4 linked regions of the Rhinolophus ferrumequinum genome follow. The protein of the gene in region 4 interacts with the protein of the main gene of each other region in a pairwise test. Links are inferred from orthologs where the notes say so. Each region holds a gene or a part of one and is shown on either strand. Other genes may lie near its edges. The genes, in order: ANXA11, EWSR1, RGS3 and PLSCR1.

Evidence for each region.
Region 1: the proteins of PLSCR1 (region 4) and ANXA11 interact in a two-hybrid assay, tested with the Homo sapiens proteins (2 studies listed by BioGRID and IntAct). The two-hybrid records come from large-scale screens. The link is inferred for Rhinolophus ferrumequinum from reciprocal best matches to the Homo sapiens genes PLSCR1 and ANXA11.
Region 2: the proteins of PLSCR1 (region 4) and EWSR1 interact in binary tests that used the Homo sapiens proteins (3 or more experiments, as listed by UniProt). The two-hybrid records come from large-scale screens. The link is inferred for Rhinolophus ferrumequinum from reciprocal best matches to the Homo sapiens genes PLSCR1 and EWSR1.
Region 3: the proteins of PLSCR1 (region 4) and RGS3 interact in binary tests that used the Homo sapiens proteins (3 or more experiments, as listed by UniProt). The two-hybrid records come from large-scale screens. The link is inferred for Rhinolophus ferrumequinum from reciprocal best matches to the Homo sapiens genes PLSCR1 and RGS3.

The regions. Positions count from the first base shown.
Region 1 is NC_046299.1:56,055,347-56,063,351, reverse strand, and holds the start of ANXA11 (annexin A11), read right to left. Parts: upstream 3,341-8,005; 5' UTR 3,155-3,340; intron 1-3,154. UniProt on the Homo sapiens protein: Binds specifically to calcyclin in a calcium-dependent manner. Required for midbody formation and completion of the terminal phase of cytokinesis.
Region 2 is NC_046308.1:18,737,574-18,744,966, reverse strand, and holds the start of EWSR1 (RNA-binding protein EWS), read right to left. Parts: upstream 3,206-7,393; 5' UTR 3,086-3,205; coding exon 3,073-3,085; intron 1-3,072. Other genes in the region: RHBDD3 (rhomboid domain-containing protein 3), read left to right, coding at 5,643-5,790, 6,464-6,847. UniProt on the Homo sapiens protein: Binds to ssRNA containing the consensus sequence 5'-AGGUAA-3'. Might normally function as a transcriptional repressor. EWS-fusion-proteins (EFPS) may play a role in the tumorigenic process.
Region 3 is NC_046295.1:65,303,925-65,312,303, reverse strand, and holds the start of RGS3 (regulator of G-protein signaling 3), read right to left. Parts: upstream 3,367-8,379; 5' UTR 3,255-3,366; coding exon 3,176-3,254; intron 1-3,175. UniProt on the Homo sapiens protein: Down-regulates signaling from heterotrimeric G-proteins by increasing the GTPase activity of the alpha subunits, thereby driving them into their inactive GDP-bound form.
Region 4 is NC_046285.1:5,726,095-5,733,511, reverse strand, and holds the start of PLSCR1 (phospholipid scramblase 1), read left to right. Parts: upstream 1-4,205; 5' UTR 4,206-4,602; intron 4,603-7,417. UniProt on the Homo sapiens protein: Catalyzes calcium-induced ATP-independent rapid bidirectional and non-specific movement of phospholipids (lipid scrambling or lipid flip-flop) between the inner and outer leaflet of the plasma membrane resulting in collapse of the phospholipid asymmetry which leads to phosphatidylserine externalization on the cell surface.

The sequences.
Region 1 (8,005 bases), on a different chromosome or scaffold from region 4:
AAGCTAGCCTCTCCCCATGCTCCAGGTGTACGAGGTGGGGAACACCTGACTTCCCTCTGAATTTCGGAAGTGATTCCTCCCTTTGGTTCTGCTAAGGCCGTGGTAACTTCAGGAGTACAAGCCCCTGGAAGACTAGACACTAAGGGATCGCAGAGACAGGTGTCAACCACCTGCACATGACACCCCCAGCTTCAAGGTTCCTTGCAGTGACACACCCAAGATATCACCACTGTCATCACCACCCCTAATTGGTCTCAAACCCCTTTAACAAACATGTTCTCACCAGACTCTGCAAACAATCATTGGAGGTAAGCATTTCACCATCCAGAACACGGGGAGCCTAAGTGGCTCCATGGCTTGTCCCAGGTCACCCAGCTCAGATGAGCTATCGCCTGACACCTTGGTTGCCCTCACCCATTAAGTGCTCACATCAGTGTAACATGGTCAGCTGTGGTTCGAGTCACACTGTTCAGGCTGTCCTGTTACGATCCCCCTAAATAAAACCACCATGTGACATCAGACCTTTATTTCACAGGGTACAGGAGTCAGGGTCAGTAGGCCAAATGTGGTACGGTTTCAGTGGTTGTTAGAAAGCGCCACTGATTTTCAACAACTCCTTTTAAAAGTCCAATTTCCCACCAAGGAAACCAGTTTCTTCCTTTCCCCTAAAAGCTTTCCTATCTAGAGACCACTCAAATTCCTGACGTTCTGGGGCAATGAGATCAGAGGGTGTTATAAGGGAAAAATCCAGAGAAACCTGAGTATGCATGCTCGGCTGTGATTATGTAACACACCCACATACACTCTCCCCCACGTGCCCTCATGGGACCAAGTGTCAGGAACTGCTTCAGGCTTACCGGGAGAAGATGGCAGCTAAAAAGACAGAAGGAGGGAGAGCGCCAGAAAGGCCCTGGGACCCCTGGACATCCAGCACGCAGCACAGGTTCCGTTTCTACACTCACTTCCTGCCCACATGGACTTCCCTCCCCCTCCCCCCATATTCTGCAGTGAATTCCCAAGAACCCATACTAACCTATTCTGACGCAATTCTCATTCCTTTATCCCAAACTACCCATCCTCCTCCAAATCACGTGACCAAGGCATCACTAATCTATCTTGGCCTTCTAGGAACAGCCATCCAGGATGAGCCCTGTCTGTCATCCTTGCCCTGGCTACATAAAGCAGTCAAAGGGCCGCCTATTTGGCATCTCAGCCAGCTCCTACTCCCACCTCTCAGTCTGGACTCATGTCCATCTCCATGTCTAATATTTTAACAACAGGAAAACTTACTTCCCTGGCCTGCCTCTCAATTACCTAACATCTGCTGGGCACTCACATTAGGCAAGGCCCATTCTGGGTGCTGTGAGACCGAGACATGAGTAAGAAACAGCCCCCACCCTCCAGAGACAAAAGACAGAGCAAAGTCCCGTGGCCATACAAATACTACGCCCATCGAGAAGTGGGTTAGTACCAAAGGACTGGAGGAGAGCTGCACGGGCTCAGTGTCTTGTCCCTTCCTGCTGTGAACAGGCACCTGGATGGTTCCTAGGAGAGTGGTGAATAATGGGCAGAAATGGGGGAAGGAGAGCATTCCTGACGGGTGGAACAGCATGAGCTAAGACAGAGGGACGGGTCAGGAGAAGAGCAGTTCAATTTGGCTGGACCTTCGGCTGCATGAAGGGAGTGACAGCTATTATTAGTATTATAGTTGATATTCACAGTTGTTTCCTTGCACCAGGCCCTGCTGTAAGCTTTATGTCCACTCTGGGTGACATCCACCTGGATCACACAGGCATGGTATAACAGTCACCACCTGTTCAGGTCAGTGCCTGAGCTCTACAGTTATTAAATATATTAACTCATTTAATCCTCACAATTACCCTGTGAGGTAGGTATTGTTATTAAACCCAATTTAAAGATGAGGAAACCAAGACTAGTAAGAGACAAGATTAGGGAGGGATGCAGAAGCCCGAGTTAGCACCCAATGCCAGGGTAACATATTGCCCTGGCCTCTCTGTGGACCACCTTACATCACTGAAAGTGCCTTGAGGGAAGGGTAGCTATTAATCCTCCTGGAAGTCTCAACAATTGACTGAGCAAGGAAGGACTGAAGGAACTTAATGAGAGCCAGTTAGTGGTGAGCAAGGTAACATGCCCTGCCTGTCCAGCTCCTGGACTCAGCAGGGCATAGGCTCACCCCTCACAGCACTACTAGTGCCCAGGTCAGGGCAGCTGGGAACAAAGTGAAGGGTGGGGAGAGACAGAGCAGCTAGGTACCTCAATACCCAGGGTCTGTCCTAAAACACCCCCCTCCACAGAAAAGTCACTGATCAGAGGGATGGGGGCAGAAACACCGCAGGCAGACTGTTCCCCACTTAGGCGAGCACTGCCTAGCTTAACTTTTGCCCCCCAAAGTCTCTATGTGAGGAACTTCACAACACTCCTTTAAGACAACAGACTGGGTTTCTACCTTGTTAAGCCTTCAGGGGACATAAAAGTCCAAGAATCCATCCCTGAAACCCTCTCAGGGCTGAAGATGGGGGAAAGCAGAGAGAAGGTAAACTTATTGGTGAACATAGGACCTGGATGAACCCCACATTCCCCAAATAAAGTGCCTTACAAACAAACTCCAACAGTACCAGCTACCAGGAATTTGTGTCCTCCCAGGTCTGGGGAAAAGTTCCTGAAGGCAGCCTTCTCTACTAGCTCTCCTAGGTACAAGCCTTTCCCGGAAGGGCACACACACAACACTCGAGAACTCGGCTGGGTCAGAGGGGACCAGGCGACCGGCCATGGCCCACACCAGCTAGTCGCCTTCTGGTCGCGGGATCACCAGGTCCCAAGCCGGCCCAGGCCCGCTGAGTCCGACCCCGGCTGCACAGCACAACCACGTGACCCTGGCCATGGGGGCAGTCCCCGCTGTAGATCGAGCTGATGCAGGCCGATGCAGCCCGTCCGGGACCAACCGTCCGGGACCAGCCAGACAGCACCCCCCCCCCGCCCCGCCCCGCGCCTCCTTGCAGTGCAACCAGGAAGCCGCAGGGCCGGGCCGGGACGGGGCAAAGGGGTTAGTCCCAGGCCTCAGCAGCGGGGATCGCGGCGCACTGCCGCTGCCCAGTCCCGTGTCCTCGGTTGGCTGGGGACCCTCACTCACCTGGCCACTGGCCACAGGGTAGGGGGCCGCGAGGAGCGAAAAGGGACGCGGGCAGCAGCAGCTCTCTCCGCCGGCGTTCCGGGAGCGGCGCCTTTGATCGACGTGGAGCTCTGTCCCGTTCCGGCTCTCGGGACACTCAGGGCACCGGGAACACTTGCGACCTGGGGGCGCAGCAGCCACCAGGGCAGGGCAGGAGGAGGAGCCAGCTGGGAGGAAAACTCCCGGAGCGCGGCGGTCTGAACGCACCCGGGGCGGAGCGTTCGTTCCAGGGGCGGGACCGGGGGCGCGTGGGGCGTGGCCTGAGCTCGGTCCCGCCTCCAGGTGAGAACCTTCCTGGACCAGAAAGCGGAGAGCCGCCTCCTGGAGCTGGGTGATGGAAGCTGCTGGCCTTCCAGCGACCAGTGGCCCGAAGCGCCTTGAGGTCGGCATGGAGCCCCTTCTTCCCCATCCTTTCCGCGAAGGGCCCCGCAAGCGCCGCCCTCTCGGGAAGGGGATTCTACAAACCCCCTCCAGGCCTGTGTACCATTGTAACTCTTTAAGGTAAAGAAAATTTTCTGCATTGAAAAGGTCACCCAATAGTACAGACATGGGGTAGGAGTGGGAAGAATAGCTTTAGGGTAGAGAGCTCTGACAAACTATCTCAGCGGGTGATCAAGGTCAACACCAAGAGTAATAAAACAAGTGACAGTGTGTACCTGTGTGTTTTTCCTTCCAAGAACACATAATCCCAGTCTAATCATGCGGGAAAATAATCCCAGTTGAGGACTATTCTGCAAAGTACCTAGCCAGTACACCTCAAAACCGGGGAGGTCATCAAAAACAGAAAATCTGAGACACCCTCTGTCTCAATCAAGAGAAGCCTAAGGAGACATGAACACTAAATGTACTGTAGTATCCTGGATGGGCTCCTGGTAAAGGACATTTTATCCTGTGATAAAATATTTTTTAAAAATTTATCTATGAAAGGGCCGGCCCAGTGGCTCAGGCGGTTGGAGCTCCGTGCTCCTAACTCCGAAGGCTGCTGGTTCGATTCCCACATGGGCCAGTGGGCTCTCAACCACAAGGTTGCCAGTTCAACTCCTCCAGTCGCACAAGGGATGGTGGGCTCTGCCCCCTGCAACTAAGATTGAACACGAGCACCTTGAGCTGAGCTGCTGCTGAGCTCCCAGATGGCTCAGTTGGTTGGAGCACGTCCTCTCAACCACAGGGTCGCTGATTGGACTCCCGCAAGGGATGGTGGGCTGCGCCCCCTGCAACTAGCAACAGCAACTGTGATGTAGGTGATGTTGGATCTGCTAGCAGTTTCTGAGTGTGGGCCGGGATCATGTCTCGTGAAGCCGAAGAGTGGAAACACTGACCAGGGAGAGGCAAAAAGTTATAAAAAGAGGATAGTTTATTAGAGGCAGGAGAAGAGGTTGCAGCTCCCGAGCAGGAGGGGGTCCCGAATGGGGGTGCCCCATGACTGAGGCAAAAGCTCTTACTTTTATACCTTCCCTTGCCTGCTTGGGGAAAGGGAGCTGTTTGAAGAAGGGAACCTGTTTGAAGAAGGGAACTGGCACCTTCTAATGAAATTCGTCTACCTGGTTTGTTCTGCTTGCCCATCCTAAAGGAATTAGCAAAGTAACCCACTCTCCATCTATCAGATCTGCTCCATTTGTCAGGCCAAAATGAATTTTATGATTAACCTCAAGGCCTTGTTACATTACGTCTTGGAGAGAAGGAGTGATTTCAAAACCTGGAGTTTTAGGATATGACTATCTTTGTTTATTTCACCAGGGACCTCCCTGTCTACCTAGGGACATGCTAACTATCCTGTATCAACTGGACCTGGAGTTGAGCTGTGCCCTCCAGAACTAAGACTGAATGGACAACAACTTGAAGCTGAACGTCACCCTCCATAACTAAGATTAAAAGACAACAACTTGACTTGGAAAAAAGTCCTGGAAGTACACACTGTTCCCCAATAAAGTCCTGTTCCCTTTCCCCAATAAAATCTTTTTAAAAAAAAATTATCTATGAAAGAACGTCCAGCCTAAGAGAAAGCTTATGAGTTTATTTGAGCCAAACTGATGGCAATTGCCGGGAAACAAAATCTCAACGGATTGAGATTTTGCTGCGGAAAATGGCGGTTTTGCAATTTACTTTATAAGAGCCAAAGAAGAAGTGTTACATGAAATCCACTGGTGGTAGATTAAGGGCGTGGGAGGAAGGCAAAGGGGGGAGGGATTGAAGGAGGAATATATCTGAGTTCCCAAATGATGTAGGAAATTTTGGAGTGAGTGAGTGTGAGTGCCGGGATCGTGACCAAAGAATGGAAACACGGACCCAGGAGAGGCAAAGAGTTTTAAAAAGAGGAGAGTTTATTGAAAGCAAAGGGTCAGAGCTCCCGAGCAGGAAGGCGTCCCCAATGGGGGTGCCCAGTGACTGAGGCAAAAGCTCTTACTTTTATACCTTCCCTTGCCTGTTTGGGGAAGGGGAACTGGCACCTTTTAATGAAATTCGTCTACCATGTTTGCTCTGCTTGCCCACCCTGAAGGGATTAGCAAAATAACCCACTCTTATCTATCAGATCTGCTCCGTGTGTCAGAACAAAAGGAATTTTATGATTAACCTCAAGGCCTTGTTACATTTTGTCCTGGAGCGAAGGAGTGATTTCAAAACCTGGAGTTTTAGGATATGGCTGTCTTTGTTTATTCCACCAGGGACCTCCCTGTCTACTTAAGGACGTGCTAACTAACCTGTCTCAAAATCTCTGGGATTGGATAAAAAGTAAATTGGAGGGACACATAGTACTTCTTTTATATTGGTGGGTACAGGATAGTTAATAGCATTTTACTATCACATAGAGATGGTAATTGGGACAAGAACAGCAATGAGGGATTCTGTAGTTTCCTGCCTGGAGTGGTGGGTTATGCCTTGGAGGGTCCGGAAAAAGGGATCACTCTGACATTTCCAAGGGTATGTTATCTTAGATGCAAAAAAGACAATAGTCAAGCTCACTTAAGGTAAGGGTGTTGACCTTTGTCAAAGAAGCTACAGGCCAAGGATGTGACTACTGGCCATGACCCGCTTTTAGTGAGGGATTTTTATGTTCAGACCATCCTGTGTGGTTAACTTCGGTCTCTGAGTTTGTAGGGCCTGCCATGCTGACCTACCCTGAGCTTGTCGGGTTTAGTATGTGGCCCCTTTTTTTCCCACAAACTGAAATTCATTCTTCAGTCCCTCAACACACTTTTTAGGTTGCCCTTCCAGATCTTTCTCTCTGCAACACACTCTATGTGTGTATGTACATGTGTATGTGTGTGCGTGTGTGTGCATATTCATGTAGATACATTGTTTACAAAGCTGTGTTGTATAATTTTTCTCATTATTGTTGTGTCTACTTGCTCACGTACCATGAAAGAATTCATGAGTCAGAAATATAGAAGATTTATTAAAGAGGAGGCTCAGCGGGGCAGAGTCTGCTAAAAACTACTGCAAACTACTGCATGGAGTCTTTGGTCTCAAGTTTTCTGTTTTCCTATAGTTGGGGATGGGGGAAGGTATAGTAAAACCAGTTATCACAACCTTTGCATACATTATGTAGATTTAAGTTGGAGCCAGGAGAGTGGATCCTATACAGATGCAAAACCTCTCCCCAAGTCACAGGGCTTACACTGAACCTAAGTAAATACAAACATTGAAACTGCATAGCAAACGTATAGGGAGCAGAATCATTAAGAGGCAAAGAAAAGAAAGCTTCCAAAAAGTCCCAAGTGGCAGCAACCAGATGGCTCAGTTGGTTAGAGCGAGGTGCTCTTAACAATAAGGTTGCTGGTTCAATCCCCGCAAGGGCCACTGTGAGCTGCACCCTCCACAACTAGATTGAAACAACTACTTAACTTGGAGTTGATGGGTCCTGGAAAAACACACTTAAATTAAAAGAAAAAACAAAGTTAAAAAAAAAAATCCCATGCTAAATTGCTTATTAATTTGAATTACACCAGAGATCCAAATCTCAAAAATAGAAGATTTAGTGCCACCATTACAATCCGTCTCTCTTAACAATTATTATTTTGGAGGGTCTTTCAATGCAAGCGGACCTGGATCAACTCATTTCTTCCTAATGACTGCACAGTATGCGCCGTCGTGCATGTCACCATTCTTTACCACCTAGCTCCTTATGGAAAGATATTTAGGTTGTTTCCTATTTGGGGCTATTACTGATGCCATGCTAAGGTCTGGCTGCCTGCTGCTTGAAAAAGTTAAAAGTCAAGAGACAAGGCTAATGGAAAGAAAAGCAGGTTTATTCAGAATGCCGGCGTTCTGGGAGGATGGTGACTCCTGTCCAAAGGCTACCTCCCCCTTCCTGGAATGGGCAGATGGTTTTATAGGTACACAAGAAGGATAAAAGAGGGGGAGTCCGTCAGGCAGGTCTGAGGGCTGACATCCTTCCCGGGGTCTGGTCTGTTTTAAGATAATGTTATCTCTGGACTCTGGACTCTGACTCAGCCATCTCGGCCTGGGGCTTTATGTGTATTCCGGTGTCTGGACGCCTGTGGATTAAGAAATTGCCCTTTCCAGGTTAGGATTCTGTTGGTTAAATGGATTAAGGAGATATGGGTAGCCTTGAGAAAGGGAACAAAACAGAGTTGTTAAGTCAGTCAGTGAGGACAGAGACAAAGAGAAAACAGCTGAATATCAGGGAGGATCGAACTGCCAGGTGGCTAGATAGCAATCTATGCGGTGAGTCAAACTGCAAATTAGCTAAGTCTAATTACGTTATCGATTTACGGAATTTTACTCTTATATTACAAACTGCGCTGTTGGTTCTATTTGCCTTTTGACAATTAACAGAGAGGGTAGGCCTGG
Region 2 (7,393 bases), on a different chromosome or scaffold from region 4:
CTTAATTAATTGGCAGAGAAAGCACTTAATCTTTTTGGGAAGAATTTGTTTTCTGGCAACACCATCTTTTTAAAACTTAAAATGATTTCAACTTTTAAGAAAATGCTGCAATTTTTCTTCCCCTTCTTTTTCTAAGTAAAACTTTCTATAATTTTTCTAAGAAATTTGCAACATGTAGCAAAAGGGACTAAAAATTCTGGTCCAGTGAGGTCTCTACAAGTAGTGAAAACAGAAAACAAAATGGTTAAGAAGTTCTCACAGCACTTCCGAATTAAATGTACGAGTATACATATATAAAGTTAATTATTTTAAAAAATTCTGTCCAATTCTTTGCTCTCCATAAGAATATACGTATCTGTCAGAAGACAATACCTCCATTAGGCCCAAACAAGTGTCCTTTCTATTCCAGTTAGAAAGTAGACCTTCCTCTGAAAGCAACAGTTTGACATCTCAGCTCTTTATGGAAGGGTTTCCACCCCCCCATCAAAGGCCTGCCTGAACTCATCTCTTGCAGTTGGCTCATCTTTCTACCCCTACACTTGACTCAACTTTCTTTCCTCTGTACACCCTTAGTTCAGAAACCTGAATCAACATTATTAAATCAACTGCCCAAAGGCTATGAATTGATTTGTTCAAAGACAACCTTATAGCATTTGAAAGTTAAACGTTAAGGCATTTTCAATGGCACTACAAACCATGCTCTTTATGTGGCAAATAAAAAGTAAATGAAAATCACTTATTCCATGTGGTATTCACAAAATACAACAAGGAAGCATTGAAAATTGATAGTTTAACCTACATTTCGAGGTTTCTGCTTGAGAAATGATTCTAAATCATGACATCTAAGTTCAATGTTTGCAAGAGCACTTTTATACAAGAACGGTTATGTAAAACATAAAACTGGCAAAGCTGATATAGAACAACCAATGTTCTCAATCAACATGAAACCAGATGCTTTAGCCCCACATTGGTGGGCTATGGAAGGTAGCCAATTTGTTTTAGGAGAACTTACGTTATCTACTCACAGCACACAATTATATGGCCTCAAAAATGCTCTTGTCACACACTAGTCAGATTATTTACCGATCACTGTTTTGCTTTTAACCCCCAAATGTGCAGTTGAAGACTTTACTGAAAATGGACAGACTGGGGGCGAGGGCTGTGATCTAGGTGGGCCTTTAGAGTGCTGGCAATATCTGCATGCAGTCACTCGGGGTGTGCATTTTAATTTGTTAAAATGGACATACCCTGCATTTTAGATACTTTTCTATATAGATGCAAGTGAGGAGGAAACACATTTAACACTACCCAAGATATGGGGGCTTTTAGATACTTTAGGGCAGTCACTATACAAACTGTGGAGATTTAGAACTTCAGACTACATAAAAAGTGAAAGTCAGTATGAGGCAATTTTGTGGGAGCCAAAAATGCTTTGCTGTAAGGTCAAAAGTTAAGGGCTTTGAAAGCTCTTAAAAGGTGTAGCAGCTCCTTTATTTTGAACGAAAGGAAACCAAAGTTCAGATAAGTTATGTGACTCCCCCAACATACCCCAGCTGGGTCACTTTCTACATAAACTGCAACTGTAATACTAATATAGTACATAGTACTCAGAGGTTAGCAGTAAACAGAGTCTGAGCAAAGCAGACAAAAAACTGGCATATCCAGCCACAAAAATTTTAACACATTTTGACTGCCCAAGCTTTAACAGGGAAGGGAGAAGAGGAAGGTGGAATGGGCTGAGGAAATCCCTTTCCACCAGGATGTCTTGGGCTGTGATATTTCAGAGTCCTTTCTTCTAGGGACACTCTGTACCCTGGCACCAACAACCAGCATTTACCTGCCTGCTTACTGACCACACAGTTGGAGAAGAGCTCCGTCTAACCTTTTCTCCTACAGCTTCTAAGGCCTAGACTTAGACCGCCTAAGAATAAGGCCCGGGGGAAAATGCCCCACCCTACCGATAACCTCAGGTTAGTGCGGGAACAGGCTGCCAAGTGCAGGTGATGTTTAGGCTACACTCTTAAATACTCCTCGCAGGAAGGCCCACCCTAGACACCACATTTCCAGCTCCCACTCCGCGCCTCCTTCCCTCTCTACCGGCTTAACCTAGGCAAGTGCAAGTGTGAGACGACTGCTTAAGCATAGTACAAATGCCGACCCGGGCCTTTTGTTTCTCTTAGGCCAGAAACTAGAGAGATTTCTTTCGGTAGGGATTTCTGGCCTCGCGATCCGGGCTGGTCTCATCATACAACGGATCTCTCGGCGTTTGATGAAAAATAACCCTGAGAAGCCACTTAATTGCTTTTTGGGGCGGGATTAATGATGGTGAAAACGAAGAAGCCGGAGGGAACAGCCGACTGGGGAGATTTTGAAGGGAGGGGGAGCACATCCCTTGTAAGCCCAGTCGGGCAGAAATTCGGCTTGGGGCTGGAACCCGCCGAAAGGGGCAGCTTAGGTGGCACCGGACGCCCCAGCAGACCAGGCCCTAAGCATGACGGGGCTCCTGCTCATAGGTCGGCGCCCCTCGGCTCACAAATCCACGATGGCTTTTTTTATTTGCTTTCTCCCCAAGCTTTTCGGTGAAATAGAGTCTCCTTCGGGTTTGGGCCGTCTCTCTGTAAATGGGGGTGGGGAAGTCGGAAGGGCAGCGGGCTCACGACTTCGGGAACCATCGTCCGGCCCCCCCCACCTCAGGTTTTGGGGTGCCCGGCTCGAAGCCGGACCGAGCGCCATCCCCGGCGGAGCTCTGAAGGCCGCAGGCCCCGCCCACGTGGCGGGAGGCCGGGCGCGCGGGGCCCGACGGCCGCCACACAATGGAGGCCACCGCAGGCCCCGCGCGCCCCTGCCGCCGCGAGCCCCCCGTACGGCGGGGGCGCTGGAAGGTTCCAGAGCCGGCCTACCCAGTGGGGGAGGGGACGGGAACGTGGGCCCTCGAGCTCGTCGGGCCGCGGCGGGTACCTCACACACTTCTCAGAAACTCCACTCAGTTGTCCCGGCCACCCCCAGAGACGAGCTGTCCCGATTTGGGAGTCCCGGCCATCGCCGGCGCGGCCGCATTTCCACCACACTCACCCGTGGACGCCATTTTCTCTCCTTCCTTCTCGTTCTCTCAACGTCCGTCTCCCTCTCGCTTTCCCTCTAGGCGCCGCACTGCGCAGGCGCGAAACCCGCAACCTCGGGCGCTACCATGGGGCCAGGCCACGGGGGTGTGGGAAAGAGGGATGAGCCACAGTTTTTCTCGTTCTCCCGACCTCTACTCTTTTCCTAATCCTCTCTAAAGAGCGCCGGACTTGACGCGCGGGTCCAAATAGCAGCGAAGGGGCTGAAGCGGCCGGTGAGCGGATCTTGATACGAAGGCGGAGTGATTCTTCGCACGAGGCTAAATTGTTGGATGGTTACGTCCGCTGGCTCTAGGGACTGTCTCTGAAGAGTCTGCCTTGAAGGGAAACGGAGGCCGGAGGGAGGATTGGGGGAAGGGATCTGGGCCTAGAACAACTGCTGACTAATCGGCGGGCCGCGGGGGAGGGGGTGGCGCGCCGGCTGGTCCGCCGGGGTCACGCGCCCGACCGCGAGCAGAATGGGTTTGGGGCGCTCGGGCCTTGGGGGGAAGGTTGAGTACCGACTCCCAGCCTGGGATCGTGCCCGGCCTTCCGCGGGCCGGGGCGCGCTCAGCAGTGAGTACCCCGGACACGTGGCCCAGGCCGGCGAGGGCGGGGGCTGAGGCAGGATGGGAGGCCCCGAACGTTGCGACCGGCCCCGAGAGCCCCCCAGTAACGGTCGAGGTTGAAAAGGCCCTTTAATCATTCTTCATCCAATACTCTTGTTTTTACAGAAGGGGAAACTGAGGTCCAAGGAATTTGGGTACTTTTCCTAAAGTCACAAAGCTGAGTCCGACCCGCACCCTGGGACCCCCACTCTCTCCATCACCCGGAAGAATCTTCCCCGTCCTTGCCTTCCCATTCTGTCCGCCGGTTTCCCAGTAAGGTAGGTAGGGTCTGATGGTTTATAGCCCCATTTTATAGATAAAGAGACTGAGGCCAGGGAGGTTCAAATCCCAATTCTGTTTGTCCATGGGCGAGTTCACCCTTGCTAAGGTACCTGAGGGCGGGGGACTGGAGAGGTGGAGGGGGGACTTGGTTGTGAGGGTGCAGGAGAAAGCCTAAAGTGGATTCCTTGTTTCCGGACAAGGGTGGCACTTGTCTCCCTTTCTACTCTCAACCCAATCTCACTCAAATCCCTCAGCGGGTCGTGGTGCCAAGCTAGTGTCTTTCTTTCAGTGAATACATATACAGCACCAGCAATATGTGGGGAGCAGCACCCTGAGGAACTTGGGGATGAGTGAGAGGAGCGAATCCCCCGACCCCCACTCCAGCTCAGATCACCTGCCAGGGAGAAAGGCTAAGCCGTGCTCATTAGATATGATAAGATTCATGATGTGGGGGCCCAGAGATGGAGATGGGGACATTTGAACTGGGCTTCAAGGGGTGCGAAAAGAGTTTGCCTGTTGAAGAGATGGAGGAAAGGACATTGCAGACAGAGGAGCTTTCTACATTTTTCCTGCAGGAAACTGGCAGGTGGGTTTTGATGCTGAGGGTGCCCTTGGCAAGGGAGCAGATGAGGCCACCTTGTCTCTGTGGGATTTTGCTTCCTGCCCTTTGAAATCAGTTCAGTGGGACTCCTGAGATAGACAGACCTGGCCAAGGCTGAGGGGATTCCAGCAGGGCCTGCAGGACAGGTGGGGTGTGAAGGGAGAGCACAGGGGAGAAAAAGCCTTGTCATGTGGGCAGGGAATGGGCACGATTGAAGGCCAGAGCTTGAACCACTGAGGCTGAAGCATCTGCCTCCCACAGTTTGCTGTGGGCTCGCCCTGCCTTAGTCCATTCCTTTTTCTCATCCTACACGGAAAGGCTTTTATTAATCCCCATTTTACAGAAGAGGAAGGAGAGGCTTAGAGGATGCAAAGCTTGCCCAGGGATACACAACAGGAAGAAGTGGATACTGGACCGGTCCTGTGAGAAGGGGAGGGGCTGTGCTCAGGGTTCTAAGGAAGGGGATGTCTCAGTCCAGTGTCACTTTGTATGCTCTCAGGGTGTGGGACTCCTGCTGCCCCCCCCCCAAGCTCTTCTGCCCCACTCCCTCCCTAATCTGCCTGCCCATTGGCTGGTCTCTCTCCCTTGGTCAAGGGCATCTGAGGCCATCCAGAGCTCTAAGCCTGGACACAGTAGAGGGGGTAGGGAGGAAGGTGGCTGGTCGCAGCCTGAGGAAAGCTGGAGATGGCTCTGAACTTGCCCCAGGGGTACCTCTTTGGGAGTCCAGGGCCCCAATTAACTTCCCTGGCCCTGTGCCTCCCACCCCTGGCTCCTCTTCAGGGCCCATGAGGGCTCTTTTGGCCTCGCCCCTCCATCCGCACACATAGGCAGGTGGACTGGCAAGATGGCTAAGCACATGGTTACGGTCCGAGTTCCTCTGGCCAAGTTGCTGAGACTGCCTCTCCAGCCTCAGTTCCTACTTCTGTAAAATGGAGCTCTTGGTAGGGTAGTTGAAAGAGTCAGACAAAAGCTGCAATAATAACTGTTGTTACTGTTTTCCTTTACCCCTAGCACGCAGCCTCAGGACCACCCTTGACCACCTTCAGCCAAGCTATGCGTGGCAGAGGCCCCCCTGCCCTCCTCTCCCCGGCGCTGCCTCTTGCTTCCTCAGTCCTGATGCTGCTCATGAGCAGCCTGTGGCTGGTGGGGGCCGGCCCCAGCCTCACCCTGGCCCCGGAGCTGCTGCTGGATCCCTGGCAGGGTGAGGGCTGGTCACATGGGCCTTGGAGGAAGCAAGAGACTTGCTTTAGGGCCTGAGACCAGTTGGCAGGAGCTGTGTGCCTCCTGCAGTGGTCAGGCAGGGATAGAACCAGTACCCTTGGGAAGGTCAGCCTTGGATGGGAGTACTCCTAGTTCGTCCACAGCCAGGGAGGGCGGAGGAGCCAGCGGAGGGGTGAGAGCCTGTGAATAGGAATTCTTTTCAGACAGCTTCCCTTTCTGAGGGCTTTCCTTGAAATAAGAACTAAGGCTTTCAGCTAAGCATGAGAATGGGGAGGAGGCGCTGAGGGTTCAGGAGTGACCCCAGCTGAGTACCTGTTCCCCAATAATAATAGCAGCTTCCATTTACATCTGAGGAACCCAAATGATGCTCACAGAGGTTAAGTGACTCATCCATAGTTGGTTACTCTTGAGAAGACCGAGTGGTAGGTCCACCTTGTTCTGCTTAATACGTCCTGGGAGCAGCTCCAGTGTTTGGAAACCCTTGGTTCCCTCCACGAGTGATTGCTGGCAGTGGGCAGACTTTGGCTCCTGGGGAGGGGAGGCTGGCTTCAGCGGGTGGCCCTGGCAGAGGGTAATTCCCAACCTGGCACACCTGGGACAGCCTTTGGGGTTGGGGCCACTAACCTGGCACATAAGCCCCTCTTCTCTCCCAGCACACCGGCTGCTGACCCATGCTCTAGGCCACACGGCCCTACCCAGCCTGCTCCTGAGTCTGCTGCTCCTGCCTGCACTGGGCTGGCAGCAAGAGTGCCACCTGGGCACCCTGCAGTTCCTGCATGCCTCCATGCTGCTCGCCCTGGCCGCCGGGCTAATGGCTGTGCTACTGGCAGGCCTCGGGGTGTCCGGTGCAGCTGGTGGCTGCGGATATATGCCTGTCCACCTGGCCATGCTGGCAGGGCAGGGTTACCGCCCACAACGGCCCCATGGGGCACTGCCACCATGGCTGTTGCCATGGCTGCTGCTCGCCCTGACACCCCTGCTCAGCTCTGAGCCACCCTTCCTGCAACTCTTTTGTGGCCTCCTTGCTGGCCTGGCCTGTATCCTTTGGCTGGGCTCTGGGCCTGTATGGACATGTGGGTTCTGAGGCTGGGCCCCCAAGGTGCCTGGAAAGGAGGTGGCATAAGGGGGTCAGACCCAACAATGCCGGGAAGCTGTGCACACGTAGACGTTCCAGGAGCATCTCCATGTTCTCCTCCAGCCAGGCTTCTGGGCTGTGGCCTGGGGGCTCGTGGCCACAGGTGGAGGTACCAATACCAATTTAAAGGGGAGCCTAGAGTGCTGAGGTGGCCCAAGGAGGCACCTAACCTGGACCTCCCTAGTAGAGGTGGCATCTAAGCTGATGCGTGCAGGATGAGGGGTTAAAATGTAGTGAAAAAGGAGAGGGCCAAGCAGAGGGCACAGAAAATACAAAGGCCAGGGGTGAGAATGAGCTGGGGTTCTCTGGGCGCCGAAAGGGAGAACCACCTATGGCTGGTGGTGCATGTGCATTAAACACAGGCTTTTGCTCCAGATGCTGAATGCCTGTTGGGGAAAACTGCAATCTGAGAGAACAGCGGGCACAGGCAGACCCCTGTAGTTATTTA
Region 3 (8,379 bases), on a different chromosome or scaffold from region 4:
CTGGAAATTTAGCTCCCCTTTAAATGTTTGTAGTCAGCAATACTTCTATCAGACAAAATGGACTTTAAAACAAAAGCTATAAGGAGACAAAGAAGGACATTTCATATACAATAGCCAAGATACAGAAGCAAGCTAAGTGTCCACCAATAGACGATTGGACAAAGAAGAGGTGGCACATATATACAATGGAATATTACTCAGCCATAAAAAAGAATGAAATCTTACCATTTGCAGAAACACAGATAGATCTAGAAAGTATCATGCTAAGTGAAATAAGTCAGACAGAGAAAGACAAATACCATATGATTTCAATTATATGTGGCAACTAAAACACAAAATAAATGAACAATCAAAACAGGCACAAACTCATAGATACAGAGAACAAACTGATGGTTGCCAGATGGGGCTGGGTAAAAAAGATGAAGAGATTAAGAAGTACAAACTAGCACTTACAAAACAGTCATGAGGATGTAAATAAACTACAGCATAGGGAATACAGTCAAGAAGATTCCAGTACATAAGTGTGGTGCCAGGTGGGTACTAGACTTATCAGGGATCACTTCGTAAGCTGTATAAATGTCTAACCACTCTACTGTACACCTGAAACTAATATAATATTATCAACTGTAATTGAAACAAAGTAAAAATAAAATTAATTAAATAGAAAACTTTTTAAATGTTTGTGCTCAGGAAACTACCAGCTAGGCAGCACCTTCATCTGGTTCTACCAGGGCAAAGCCCCATGCTGAAGGCCAGGTACCTGCCATGCTGGGGAAAGGCCAGGGAACAGAGGAAAACTTAGCAAAGACCTTCCTGGTGAGGAGTTCATGGCTAACAAAACTGACTGACTCTATAGCTTCCAAAACCGACTCTATAGCTCCCAAACCTGCCTGAATCGCTGAAATACTTCTGTGGCTTCTTAAAATTAGATTCTCAGGCTCCGCCCCAGACCTATTAAAACATGATCTCTGGGAGAAGATCCTAGAAATCTGTTTTTAACAGGCTCCCCAGGTGCTTTTGATAACTGGCCAGGCTGGTAACCACTGATATGAATCTTCACTCATGATCAGACAGGCAAAGATCCCTCGCTGTACGAAGAAAAGTCAGCAGCCTGGAAGAGGGGTGGCATTTGTCAAGAAAACAGTTAATGAAGGAAACAGGCGAGAACTTTTCCAGTGTCCATCAGTGTCCTCGGGGACATTGAGAGGAGACTGCACACATTAGGGCAGGAGGAGACGTTAGAGCAGGAGGCTCTCGACCCCACCAGGTTCCTGCCGCCCACTGCACACTCAGGTCAGGCACTGACTGGTTCAAGCAGCCACCTTCCCTGCTCCCCATCCGACCCAGCCCTGAGGCCATGGCTGGGCAGGGCATCCACTCCCTGCTGCACTGGACACGCCTCAACTTCCCAGATCTGGCAGGGAGATTCATTCAACAGAAGACATGTGGACGGATGCGAGGGAATAGTCACCTCATCCCAGTAAGGAAAAGAAGCGGGTTACAAAACTGTACTTACAATATGATCCGAATTTTGTTAAAATTAGATCCGAGAGAGAGAGAGAGAGAGAGAAGTCTGAGGATTTTGGTTTATAAACCAAAAAATGTTAACAATGGTCTTTTCTGGGGAGTCAGATTTCAGATTACAGGTGATTCTTACTTTCTTCTTGTCACTAAGTTTTCAACAATGAATACATCTCACCATGAGAATAAAGAGGAGAAAACAGTGAAACATAGTTTTACATTTGAATCAGGAAACAGCTAAGGTAGCAGGGTCTCCAGCTCCCAACACTCGTTCTGACCACTCCAGCGCCACCAACTCAGACCATCCCAGAGACCTCCTTTGTCTAGTACAGTCCCAAATCCCACGGGGGGGTGATGGGGGGGTTCACAGGAATTGCCTCCGAGGGTTGGGAGGATTAAATGAGATAATGTAGGTAAAGCACGTCGCACAAGGCACGACACACGGAAAGGTCTCAATAGTGGTGGCTAGTCAATTACTCTCATTACTATCCTCCACCAACTGGACCAGTGAATTCCAGGATGCCAGACCACAGCCACTTCTAGGGGCCAAGCCACTGCTTTTCCATCACTTCCTTTGCCACTAGAGGAAAAGACAGGTTGTGAAGAGCCAAGTGTGTCAACAGAGGTAGCCTGAGAGTAGGGACCCGGACCCAGGAAGGGCCTAACTCCCCAGGTGCTCTGTCTTTGAAATCTGGGCAAAGTCCACTTATGTTGCAGTAACTTCCCCAACCTTCATAAAAAAAATTGTATACAAGTTCAAAACAAATGTGCCTTACAGGTCGTCTCAGAAGGCTTGAGCTCAGGTACCAACTCCTGTCACTGGCTCACTGGGAGGCCTTCCTCTCTCTGGATCTCAAGTCTTCACAGAGGAAACACAACTCCCTCTCCACAAGGTGTTGCAGAACCAGTGAGGAAAGGAATGGAGAACTGTAAAGGGCTGTATTCTAGGACCCGGCTATTAGCTTTACTATGGCTACTTGGAAGGCTGGGTTTGCCTGGACCCTTGGGGAGCTGCTACCCAGCTGTTATTTCGGGGAACTCAGTCCTGCTACCTAGGGGCTTGGGAGCAGGCACCCACTGCCCATTCCTTTCAAGTCCCCAGAGCAGCCCTGTGACCCTCCTGAGAGCCTGCTCACTCCTGGAGAAGAGAATTCTCCCATCTCTCTTACAGGTCAGATGTCCACTGGAGCAGTCACACTGCTTCCAAGGTTAGCCCACAAGGAAACAAGGCCACTTGGGCTAACCTGGCACCTGCCCTGTCCCTGCACCAAAGGAAAGAGAACTGAGGAGAGGTTGAGACGTAGCAACAAGACCTTGATTTAACCCTGAGCTGCTTGCTAATGGGAAACTCAGCGGTGACAAACCGGGTCTCTGAAAGATTAACTGGGGCGTGATTATTCCAGCCCAGTGAGGCAGAACCAACTGCACTTGGCACCAGTGGCCAGGGAGCAGGTGGTGCCCAGCAGCTTGAACGGTCTGAGCCTGTGTCCTGAGCCCCACCTGGGCAACCACAGGAGGAAGAGGCCAGAGAAGGTGTGCCCCCAAACAGAAGGCTCATCTGCTCCCAGCCTCATCTATCACCACGGGGGCGCCCTTTCTGGGCGCTGAGAGCAGGGTGCCGCAGTCCCGGCAGCGGGCCGCAGAGGGCACTTACCAAAGGTGGTGAGGTAGAAGGACAAGCCCGGGTGGGCACGCCGGCTCCCGAGGGAGACGCGGTGCAGGGAGTGCTCCATGGCCGCCCGCTCCGGGTCGGGAGGGTGAGCCTGTAACCCGAAGCGTCTGTGTTGCTCCACAGTAACCGAGGCAGCAGGTTCACCCGCACCCCACCTCCCCGCCCCGCACCGGTCTCCCAGGCGGGAGCCGGAGGCCGGGCTGAATCGCGCGTTTGAACAGGCGGGCGCGCCAGTCCCTGATTGGCCCGCGCTGGTTTGAATGGGAAGGTTTCCACCTGACAGAGCAGACGCTGGCCAGAGGCGGAATGGCGCTGGCGTCCCAACTGCGAGGGCAGCCACCGCGGCTAGGACCGCAGTCCTCCCCAGGAGCGCGCAGGACCCGGCGGCCACACCAGGTCTCCTGGCTCCAAGACCGCTCGAGGCTGGAAGTGCCATCCCCACGAGAGGCCCGCAGTCCCTGGGCTGCCCATTCAGGCGCGCTTGGCCTGCTCGTCCAGTTCTCCCAGGCTAGCAATTAGCCCGGTTTGTAACATGCTTTGAAGCTCAGACCTGTAATCACCGGACCAGAGCAAAAGCAAAGGAGCACCCTCCTGGCCCAGGGGCTTTGGAAAAGTGTTCTCCACATTTGGACGGGCCCACCCACCAGGCTGCAGCCCCTTCCCAAACCCTGCCCTCTCTATCTCCCTCGTGGGCCCCTCTTGGATGAGAGAAGCCTAGCGTAAGTCCAGACCACAGCAGCGTGCTCCAGCCAGCCTCACAGACCTCCATCTGCAGCCTGGTGCCATGGGGCACCCCAGCATATGAGGGGACCGAAAAGTATACTATGCAGAGGAGGTAGATGCTTTCAGTCTCCAGAGCCTGGTGCGAGGAGGCAGTGCTGGAAGGAAGGTCAGCCCCTGAGCTCTTTGTCAGCAAACTTTCATGGGACGCCTCCTGGGAGCAGTTTCACACCAAGACATCTGCTCTGCAAATCTCTGACTGTTGCTGCTGTGGGAGGGAAAGTTGCTAGTCTTATGTAAGTCTGAAAATGGGAAATATCTGAAGTTGCCAAATGGATATTTGTGACTGAGTGATCCACGCAAGACAGAGTTGGGGGATGCAATAGAGAAAGTGGGGAGAAAAGTTATATGTATTGAGTACCAGGTGAAAGGGGCTGAGCTGGGAAATTTACACACATCATCTCATTAAATATTCACAGTAACCCTAGAAAGCATTAGCCCCAATTTACCAGGGATAAATCTGAACCTCAGGCAGGCAGAGTAGGTAACTTATCTAAGGTTGGGAGAGCTGAAATTTGAACCCAGTCCTGTCTGCTCCAAAGGCTATCCTCCTTCTGTTCCTCCTTGGCGTCCAGACCTGCCTCATGGCCAATAGCAAGTGGAAGTAGCAGACCTGCCTTCTTGAGGCAGGTAAGAAAACTAGATCCCACAGGGCCAGCTGGCCACCAGCAGGGAGCTGAAACTAGAGAAGGTGCCCTGAAATCAGCAAACTAGTGGTCAGGTGCAAATGAGTCTCATAAAAGGTAGGTGGATTGTTTGAATCCTGGCACTTTGGGAGGCCCTGCTCTGCTTTCCCTCAGCCCCACACCATGAGCACTGCCCTCAGCAGGGGACAAGCGTACCTCCCTGGCCCCAACCCGGTGGCAGATGGACTTACCTGCACCCTGGACTTGAGTGTGCCTGATCCTCCTAGCTGGGGAAGTTTGAGTCCAGGCATCCTTTCTGGGCAGGGAGGTATCCCGGCCCTGCCATTCCATCTATCCAAGGAAAATGGGCCACCTCAGGCTCCAGCCACAGGATACAGACAGGACACTGAGGCTGGAGGTGCTGTAGACCTGCAGGAGCAAGCTGGGAGCATGGGTAGGCACGGCCTGAGGATGCCCCCTGAGAGGGATGTTCTCTCCCAGGAGGAATTAGGAGGTCCACAGGGAAGGGGAGAGTGATGTGCCCAAGAGGATAGTGGCCCCTTCACAGCTCTGCCAGAGGCTCTGCTCTGCTCTCTAGGGAATACTAGAGAAAATTTCCCATACTAGGGAAAATCACCTTGGACTCAGGAAGCTGTGAGCAACCTGCAAATGCACCCTCACGAGGTTGGGGTCCAGCAGGAGAGCTGGGCAGAGTTGCGCTATCTGTATGTGGTCTGGGGTAAAAAGACTGAGGACCACACTTCAGCTTACTCAGGACAAAGAGTCCCACTTCACCCCACTCAGGACAAAAGTCCCACTGCCTTGTACGTTCCCTCCCAGCTCCTGCCCTACTCAGCAGCTAACCTATTTAGTTGGGAGACCCCAATGCCACTCTGATCCTGATCCGACTCCTGTGGTGGCACCACCTCCACCACCTTTACCACCAACCATAAGGCCCCTTACTTAGTAGAGCACTGGAAACATCCTTCTCTTAAAGGGGCAGGTCACTCTTTTCTCAAGTGAAGGAGAACAAGAGTGAGTGGGAGCCCGGGCAGTACCACTGTAGGAGAGACTGGTCCTACTAATCTATTTCTACTGTCCACAGGGGACATCCAGAAGGGGTCGTGGTTATGGCCCTGCTTTCCCCAAGAAGGCAGGGGAGTTTGAGGAGCAAGCCCAGCTTTCTGACATGCCCTGGCCATTGGCCTCAGTATCTTTCTTACACCTCACACACACCCCACACACTACACACACACACATACCATAACACTTCCCATGTATAAACACTAACACTCCACATACACATACCATATACTAGTACATACACACACATAAACATACTGCATACATCATATATATATACACACACAAACCCCACACACTATACATGCATCCTATATACAAGCACATAGACACACACCACACAGACACACACACACAAAAAAAAACCACTTAAATACACTACATACATATACCACATTCAGATACAAAGATCGATTGTAGGCATTTTTTAAGACTGACTCTGTATCTAGAAGAATAAGGACTACCTGGGTTTGGAGGGAAGGGACTAAATGGACTTGGGTGCATTTTCACCTTAGCTATTAAAGAATCGTAGTTCCTTTAGATATCATCTGGCCCAATAGCCAAATAATTATTGAAAAATAATAATAAAGGGGTCTAGGACTACCAAATGTAAATAATATTATAATAATGTAGTACCAGAAAGAAGACAAACAGATCAATGGAATAGAATAGAAAGTTCAAGGAGAAAAATGATTTTTTTTAGAATATAAGAAAGATTTTCAAAAGTTTTTAAAGATTCATTTCAAACAGTTAGAAGGGGAACAAGCTAATTAAGATGAAAATCTTAAAAGGAAATAATATAGGGGCGGCCAGTTAGCTCAGTTGGTTAGAGCGTGGTGTTCTTAACAACAAGGTTGCCAGTTCGATCCCCTCATGGGCCACTGTGAGCTGCGCCTCCACAACTAGACTGAAACAACTACTTGACTTGGAGTTAATGGGTCCTGGAAAAACACACTTAAATAAATATAAGTGTTGTTTTTTTTAAAAAAAGGAAATAATATAGTTAAAGTTTAAATTTATTTTGTTTTACAATAGGCTTCAACAATAAAACCAAAGCCTTGTTCTTTAAATAAATAAATAAATAAAATAGAACTCTGGCAAAACAAAGAAAACTACAAGTAAACAGGTTTAGGAAAGAGAAAGATACCCAAAATACAAAGGTAATTCTTTCTATTATAAGAGGAAACCATTGCAACCTTATTTATAAATTTGAAAATCTGAGGAGAAAATGGATGATTTTCTAGAAAGCATTACTTACTAAAATTGATACAAGAGTTTGAAATTTTTAATAGCTCACTAACCATAGATAAAATAGACAAGGAAATCAAAATTCTACCTGACAAAATTATAGAAGACCCAGATAGTTTTAGAGGCCAATTCTATAAGACCTTCAAGAAACACATAATGCCAATGTCATTTAAACTGTTTCAGCACTAGAAAAAAACTGAAAGATTTTTCATGCTAGGTACAAGCCTAGGCAAAGACAACAATCAGACAAGGTTAGCAACAGAAAACTACAGACGAAAGGTCAAAGATAAAAATAAGAGTAGAAATTAATGAAATAGAAAACATACACTGAGAAGATCTATTAAAATTATGACGATACTGGGCCCACATTCTCTCAGTTTTGACACATTCCTGTTTTTAAGGAAAAGCCAGAAACATCTAATTTTTAATATAGTATCTCCCAAATTTTTAATATTGGCTATTCAGTCAGAAATTTTGAAATATTATGTAGGCCAAATAAAATAAATTTCTGTGCTATAACGAGTTTGAAATCTCTGCTAGAACAATCTGACCTATGAATATAAACACTAAAATCCTAAACATTAGCATATTAAAACCAGCAGTATATTTACGATCATTACATTCATTCCAGGATTGCAAAAGTGGTTCAAATTTAATGAACCTATTAGTGCAAGGGTTGGCAAAATATGCCTACAAGCCAAATCTGGCCCACTACCTATTTTTGTGCTGCAAGTGAGCTAAGAATGTATTTCATGTTTTTATATGATTGAAAAAACTCAAAAAAATTAAAAGCTTTTCTATGGCCATAAAAAGTTAAAAAATTTTTTAAATTAAAAAATGAATTTAAAGTACTTTTTAAATATATGGCCAATATATACAAAGAAATCTTACAAATCAAGTAAGAAAAATATGAATGTATCAAAGAACATGAATAATCATTGCACAGTAGAGGAAAATAAATGACTAATGCATAAAATACTAGTAACCAAAGACAAAAAAAATCATCTGGTCCCACCATTTGCCTTCAGGAAATTCAAGCATTTGTATTTATAGATGAGGTGACTAAGGTTCAGAGTTGTTAAATGAATCAAGTTGCTAAAGTAATAAATAAACTGTGGAGAAATAAGAATCTAGCCAAAAACCCACTATAGAATGTCATCTTTCACACCAACCCTCCTGCTCAGAATAGCTAGGGACAAACTAGTAGGACTGAGCCCTCCGTGGCTACTGACACATTAAAACTCAATTCAACAAACGTCTGCTAAGCTAAGCCCTGTGCTGTGCTGGGCCTTCCACTGCGCACTGGGGATACAGAAGTGAGCAAGATGGAGCTTGCAATCTAGTGAGACACTGGGTGAGTGTTACAACAAAGGAAACATGGCAACCTGCACAAACAGATTAACATCTCACTTAGACTGGGGAGATGGGCAGACTGAGATGATAAAGAAG
Region 4 (7,417 bases):
CCACCTTGAGTCCCACCTTAACACAGAGTAAGAAATGGTTTCTCTCCCACTTTGGGCAATTGCCATTGTAATCCCATTCAGGGTCCATGGGTGGGACCGCTGTTTCTCCTGGGGGGTATTTGTTGTCAGACAGATGTAAATTGTTAGAAAATTTTCTGGCCTCCTTAATTGCCTGTTCCTGTTCAATGTCTGACAAAGTTTGTCCCAGAACTATCATCACATCTTTCCAGGTAGGTTTATATGCTAAAGTAAGGTGTTGGAAGCATCTATACATTTGTCTGATGGTCCGAATGGCTCCCAAGGTCAGCTTTAATTTGCCTGAGCTCAATGAGGGAGAGGGGTCTGTTTATTAGTTGGGGGCCAATTTCTCCTGCTGTTTCTATCAGAGGCAAGAGCTTAGTTGTCCGAACAGCTTTAGGGGCAGGAGAAGCAGGGGCCAGCAGTTGTGTTGGGGACTCTGGGTACAAGGGTGGTGAAGAAGGTAGCCAGAGGGCCTTCTTTGGAGTCCCTGGGGCCGGAGTTGGGTCAGTGAGAATTTGGGGATCAGTAAGCACGGGCTTAGTAGGGCTAAGTTCCACTTTTTGCATAAATCTCTACCACCCCTCTAATAGAAAAATACTTGTATAGAAGGACTATCTGACCATTTTCCAAGACGTTTACAAAAGGGGATGAGTTGTAGAAATGTGTCATAGTTTAGGGTCCCATTAAGAAGCCAAACCTCCCTCTCCCCTAGTTGGTATTGGGGCCAAACTGTATTACAAAAAAAAAAAAGATTAGTTGGCTTTTAAATTTTGAGGATCAAATTGTGACCAATTAGAAAGGGTACATCTCAAGGGGGTACTGGCGGGAATGGACTCTTGATTCCCCATCTAGAAAAGGGAAAAATTGTCTGGGGCGAGGTAAGACTGCCCCTCGAGACAGTGGCAGACTATCCCACCTCTTTTCTGGATTTGTAGGGGTTGCGAAAGAGTCCTGGTAGTTCCCGTGTTCTTCTAGGAGTCGAAAAAGGCTCGGTCAGGAGGGGGAAATTATAGAGGGCTAATGGTCAAAGCCCAGGGTATGATTTTGATTATTCCATTCGGAAGGAAGTACTCAAGCCCTCATGCAAGTAGCTGTCCCTTTGTCCCTCCATCTCTCAGTCTGCTGGTATTAGCGTTACCCATTGTTGGGCAATAGTGTTCAAAAAGAACAAGATCTTAAGGGATTGGAGAGGCAAATTTCGGAGGTAGGAGAAAAAGTTCTGAAAATGTTGAGAATCTCCTCTGAAGGTGGGAAAGGCAAGAAAAGCTTGCCGACCCTTACTCACTGCCATCCAAACAACTGGAGACAAAGGATGCAATCCAAATCATGGCACCAAAATGTTACGGGAGTCTCAGTTCTTCTTGCTGACACAGTGAAGAATCAAAGTTCAGCAAGCTGATTAATATGCAAGCAGGGTTTATTAGTGATACATTCTCAGGGAAGAGGTTGGGGAGAGGGAGAAAGAGATTAGAGAAGCCTAGGTCCCGGATATTAGTGATATGTTCTCAGGGAAGAGAATGGGCCTAGCAGAGGTGAGAGAGAGAAAGGGGGAGGGGGGAGAGAGAAAGAGAGAGAGAGAAAGCGTGAGCAAGAGAGCTGACGTAAAAAAAAAAAAGGGTGAGAGAACTTGCGTCAGTAGGACTTATACAGGGAGTTATCTATTGATTTTAGGCCGGAGAGGTGGGTGGGGGAGGTGGTGCATGCTCTTTCATAGGAGGGCATGACTTCCTAAGATGGGTGGAGGTCTGTTGACTCAGATCCTTATCTTGCTCCACACCACCTCTTGTCATCTGTTGTTATAAGAACAGATATGTGGCTGGAGGCAGTTAATCAAAGCTACTTGTGAGCTTTTTCTGTAGGCACTAAGGACCACCTCCCACTCCTCCTCCTCCTACATTTTCTAGCTTCTACCTAACAGTAGGATGGGTAAAGAAGGTGAAGGGATTAAGAAGTACAAATTTCCAGTTATAAAAGTCATCATGGGGATATAAAGTACAGTATAGGGAATATAGTCAATAATATTATAATAACTATGTATATTGTCAGTTGAGAACTAGACTTACGGGATGGTCACTTTGTACATTATGTAAATGTCTAATCACTATATGGTATACCTGAAACTAATACAACATTGTATATCAAAAGTAATTCTTAAAAAGTTGTCCTGATGTTAAAAATAAATAAATAAACAAATGTCAAGGAAGAACTCATACTGGATGTCCTGAGGTACAGAAAACTTTCTAAAATAAGATGCAACGCCTAGAAGTCAAAAGTGAAAAACACAGTAAAAGATGATTAAAAATGAAAACTATGTATTGTTAAAGCAAGTTTAAATGTGACACAATCCGGAGACTCACTGAGCAAAAAAAAAAAAAAAAAAATTGTACTCTATTAAGCAGATGAGGAATTGAATTTACAATATATACAGAGCACAACAAATTCGCAAGGGGAAAAATGTCCTAATCCAACAGAAAACTATGTATTAAATATCAGATATTTCACAGAATAAAATGGTAAAATGTTTAGCAATAATATAAAAAATTACTCAACATTACTAACAACTCGAATTAACAAAAACAATAATAATAGCATAATACTTGCCAATCAGAATAACAAACATTTAGAAATGATTATCAGGAGGTGGCGATCCATGGTAAAACAAGCATTCTCATATTTTATTGGCAGAACAGAATAAGTTTCTAAAGTGTGTACAGAAAAATAAGTGCAAGGACGATGACTACAACATAATTTGTAATTATGAAATTAGAAGCAAAGTACACCTAAATGATTAGATCAACGATACAGTTCTGTATTAAAGGCAAGGGATTTCCAAGAAGTTTCATAAAGTGGAAACACAACAGAGAATAGTTTGCATAAAATAATCCTGTTAACGTGAAAAACAAAACTATGTACTGTTAGGCACGGCCAGAGGAATGAGTCATGGGAGACTAAAATTGGACTATTAGAATTTATTTGGCGTGTTTGAACTGTGGGAGGTCAGGCTAGAAAAGACCACAACCTTTTGGAGCAAAAAGGGGTATGGAGTTTTACCGGAGGGGGTCAATGAGGTTGTTCCCCCTTCAATGCTTCAGGGGGTTTTCCTTGCATTGTCTCTAGCAACCAAGGGTTTTGTTTGGGACGTGACCAAGCCCTGGGCTCCACACCCTGCCCCTCTAGCCTCCCTCGGTCCAGACCTCCTAGGCCCTCCCAGGCCTGCTGATCACGAGCCATTAGAACAGCATAAGATGGTTTCTACTTTCTAGGTGGCTTCTCCAAGCCTAAAGCAACATAAGCCGGCAGGTACAGGTACAAAGACAAGATGGCTTTTAAGATAAGAAGTTTCCTGTTCTGTCCTAAATGTGGCCTAACGTGTACATTTGTGTATATAGTATGTATTGAGCACTTACTGTGTGGCAGGCATCAGTCTAAACTTTTTGTATTTTAATTTCCTTAATCCTCATAAAAATCTTTGAGGTAGATATTATTACTACCTTCATTTTACAGATTAAAAAGGAGACACAGACTGTAATTTGCACCAAGTCACAGAGATGAGAAGGGATTCAAACCAAGTTGCTTGGTTTCCTCCCTCCTTTTTCAGTCATATTTTCTCAATTTCGCTATCCCTCCCAACTCCTTTCTTCTCTCCCGCAACCTTCCTTCTCTCTTAGTAAATTTTCAAATGTCTCTTAACAGTGTCATGGGGAGAAAAGTGGGGGATGCAGAAGGTATGTTTCACTTATTTTCTCCACATTCAGCTTTACTGTGTGGAAGATCATGTATCGCTTTTGTAAATGAAAATTTTAGAGAAAAAAAAAAGAATGAATCCTTCAGTTCAGTTCAACAAATACTTGTTTATTGGGCTTGGTTGCCACTCCTGGAGGGGCCTGAAAAACTAAACATTCTAAACGCATCAGGTCGGTTTGACTCTTAAACGAAGTTAACATCGTTTCGTGGAAAGAGAGAAACAGAGAAAGAGACAAAGAGCAAGAGAGCGAACGTGAAAAGACGTCATGAAGGAAAACAAGCTGGCCCCATCCGCGTTTGTCCTCAGCCCCGGTCACTGCTTCCAACCGGAATCGCCGGGGTGGAGGTCAAGCCGGGGTAAAGGAATTTCCCAGCACTTCAGTGCTTTCCGCCCCACCCCGAAGGCAAACCCTCCCGCGTTCAAGACTGTCCGCATTCTAGCCAGTGTTGACTTCCCCATGAAATGCAACACCAACAATTTTGGAGTCTCTGAGAGTAGGAAAGGGGGCAGGGGGACATCTCCGCGCCCGCCCCTCTGGGGAGCCGGCCTCGAGGCAGCTCTCCCGCCCTCCGGCAGCCACGCGGGACCCCGAACTCCCACGGGGACTGGCTAGACAGACCCTTTTGTGTACGTAAGATCCAGGAAACGAAACCTAGAGCCGGGTTTTCCGCCCCGCGTAGGTCCCTCGGAGGCCCCCTTCCTGGTGACTTCAGGGAAGGTTGTGTAACGCGCCGCGCTGAGCTGCCGAGGAGCCCAGGGGACACAGCGACCGCCAGGCGCCCGGGTTCCCGGCCCTCGTCTCGCCCAGCGCCGCCCCGGAGCAGCAGCAGCCACAGGTGGGTAGGTGCGCTCTCCGCCCTGCCGCGGGCACGGGGCGCGGGGCCTGTGCGGGTTCCGGGCCTCGCGGGGCCCGGGGGCGATTCGTGACCGAGGGGCACGAGGGCTGGCGGGTTGTGCTTGCGCTGAGGTTGGGGGGTAGAGGATGGGGGTTGGGGTCCCAGCGGTCTCGGGAAGCCACCTCGGAAGTGGAGCGGGGGCGCTCTGAGGGTCCCCGGGTGACCTACCTGGTAGAGACTCGACCAACTATGGTGTTTCCTTCCCTGAGAACATCTCTTCCCAGCGAGGAGGGCAGCCCTGAATCAGGGCAGGAACCTGGGCTCCGGGGTGTCTGCCGGCACAATGTGGGGTGTTAGAAGGGACGGTTAATAGAACCTGCCAGCGGCCACTTAACAGTAAATATGAATTAGGATACAGCTGGAACTATGCTAGGACCTGGAACACCAGAAGAATTGGGAAGCTAGAGGGGCTGTGTAGCATAGAGGAGAAGACCATTATCTCGCAGTCCACCTGCCTGACTCCAGTCCTGCCTCTACTGCTTATATCCGTGGACTCTGAGCCAGTTTCTTCTGCATATATGTTCCTTCCGTACCTCATCTCTGAAACTGTGTAACTAGTAAAAGAGTTCTGAGAGTTAGAGTATGACAGGTATTAGTGTAACTTCGTTAGACAGGGTCTGGCACTGCAGAAAGTACTCAGTGAAAGCTTTTGTTATTTTTAATATTTGACAAAGTCTCTGCTTCTCCCCGCTTTCTACCTGGTCCCCCTGTGGTTTTATTTATACATTTATTCCTGGAAGTGCTGGCATGCTCACTACCCAGTTCCAGGAAGAGGCAGAAAACTATTGTTTCTCCTGGATTAGTAGTATTAGGTACAGGGTTAGTACCGTACAGGTAGGTTTCACTTAGTGTGAAATGTCAGGTGATTTGGGGTCCCCTTTTTCTCCTTTGAACTTTTATACCAGCAGAAGTTTCTCCTAATACCACACTGGTGAGTATGACGATTGTAGCACTTTGAACACTGAAGAAACACAAGGGATGGTAGTGAAATGAGTGGATTTCTGCAGTTGGGTAGAAAAGTGGCATGTGAAATAACTAGGTCAAGATTAAGCAGCCTTCGCATCTGCAAGAGAGCTGTTTTGTCTGACTGAAAGGAATGAAATTAATAATTCTGTACACACATTGTTGAATCAAAAAGCACCAATTAAGCGCTTTGTCCTGGACAAGACAGGCCATGCACTGGCCTTTCAGAGCTTAGAGTGCAGCTGGGGAGACAGTTAAGGCGTAACAACCTGTGCACCTCTCCATCTTCCTGTCTCATGGTCTCTCCCTGTGGTCTCTCTCTCACACACAGACCTTTCATGCCCTTGAATGAAACAAGCTCTGTGCAGCCTCAGGACTTCTACATACTGAGTTTCCTGTCTATAATGCCTCACCCCACCCCACCCCCACACCTTCATGGCCTGGTTGATTTCAGACTTCTTCAGCTCTCAGATCTCGCTTTCTTTACAACCCCGTCAACCACCACCAGCATCTAAGCTAGTGGCCCCATAACTCTTTATTATAGCACCATTATATTTATTTATAGCATTTAGAGTATTTCTAATAATATAATCTGTCATTTTCTTCTAGTGATTGCTATAATGGCTTTCACTATGCCTTCAGTCAGTATTCTTTGAAAAAAGGCACAAGCTTTGTACCAACCGAATATTTATATACATACTTGTATATATGAACATGTGCATTATAATATGTGTGTATATATACACACACACTATTATACTTTCTTAAACAGTGCTAAGTTGAAAAAGCCAAAGTACTGTAGTTAATCAGTACTAGTAATTGTACTTTTCATTTTCCAAATTTTGAATTTAAAAAATACTTTCACCTTTCCTGGTAAAAAGAAAATAGCCTTGCGTAAGTTTGAAATTTGCAAGAAAGATACCATAAATACAGTCTTTTAATAAATTTTACTGAAATTTGACAATTTGAGAGAAATTTTTTTTTCAATGAATCAAAGACATGAATGCAAAGGACATGAATCATTTTAATTCAACTAGTTAGTGAGATGTATAACATTAAGTGACCATTCACTCTTTGAGTGTAGTTTCCTCGTTTATTAGGAGGCAAGGAAACAACTCAAATTTGTAGGGAGCTCTGAGTTGTCAGGAAAAGCTTTTCAGGAGAAATAACGCAATCAAACTAGGATAACTGACCTAAAGTTTAGTTTTTGTTTCTTTTGTCTTTTTGGTTTACTTGTTAGTGTGGTAGAACACTTAATTTAAGCACTACTCTCTCAGGTGGTCCCAGTTGATGTAATACCTACTTTTTTTCTTCACTGTTTACTATAAAATGCTCCCCCCAAATGGTTCTGAGCTTATTTGTTTTGTTTCCTTGAACTCTAAATACAAGATTGGGTTTTTACAGGAAGACTCCCTGGTATCAGGAACTTTGATTTGTAAATGGGTTTCAGTCACCCCACTTCCACCCTATACCTTGCACATAGGGTGGACTTGTGTACTCAAATGCTCAACAACATCTGGGCCACCTGGATGTATAAACTCATCTGTTTTTGCTCTGCTTATCTTTTACCAGAACCATAGTTCAACAGATGAAATATTTTTGTCTTTTGATGTTAGCTGAAGCTTTTTAGATGCACAAAATTTACCTACAAGCATAAGCTACAAAAACATGGAAATTATTTTATTTGTGACTTACCTCAGCAAGTGTTGGGTTCTCCACATATTCTTAGGAAGTTAGGGACATAGAATTCCGTGATTGTTTTTAAAGCAGTTAACATTTTGCTAAAATAATT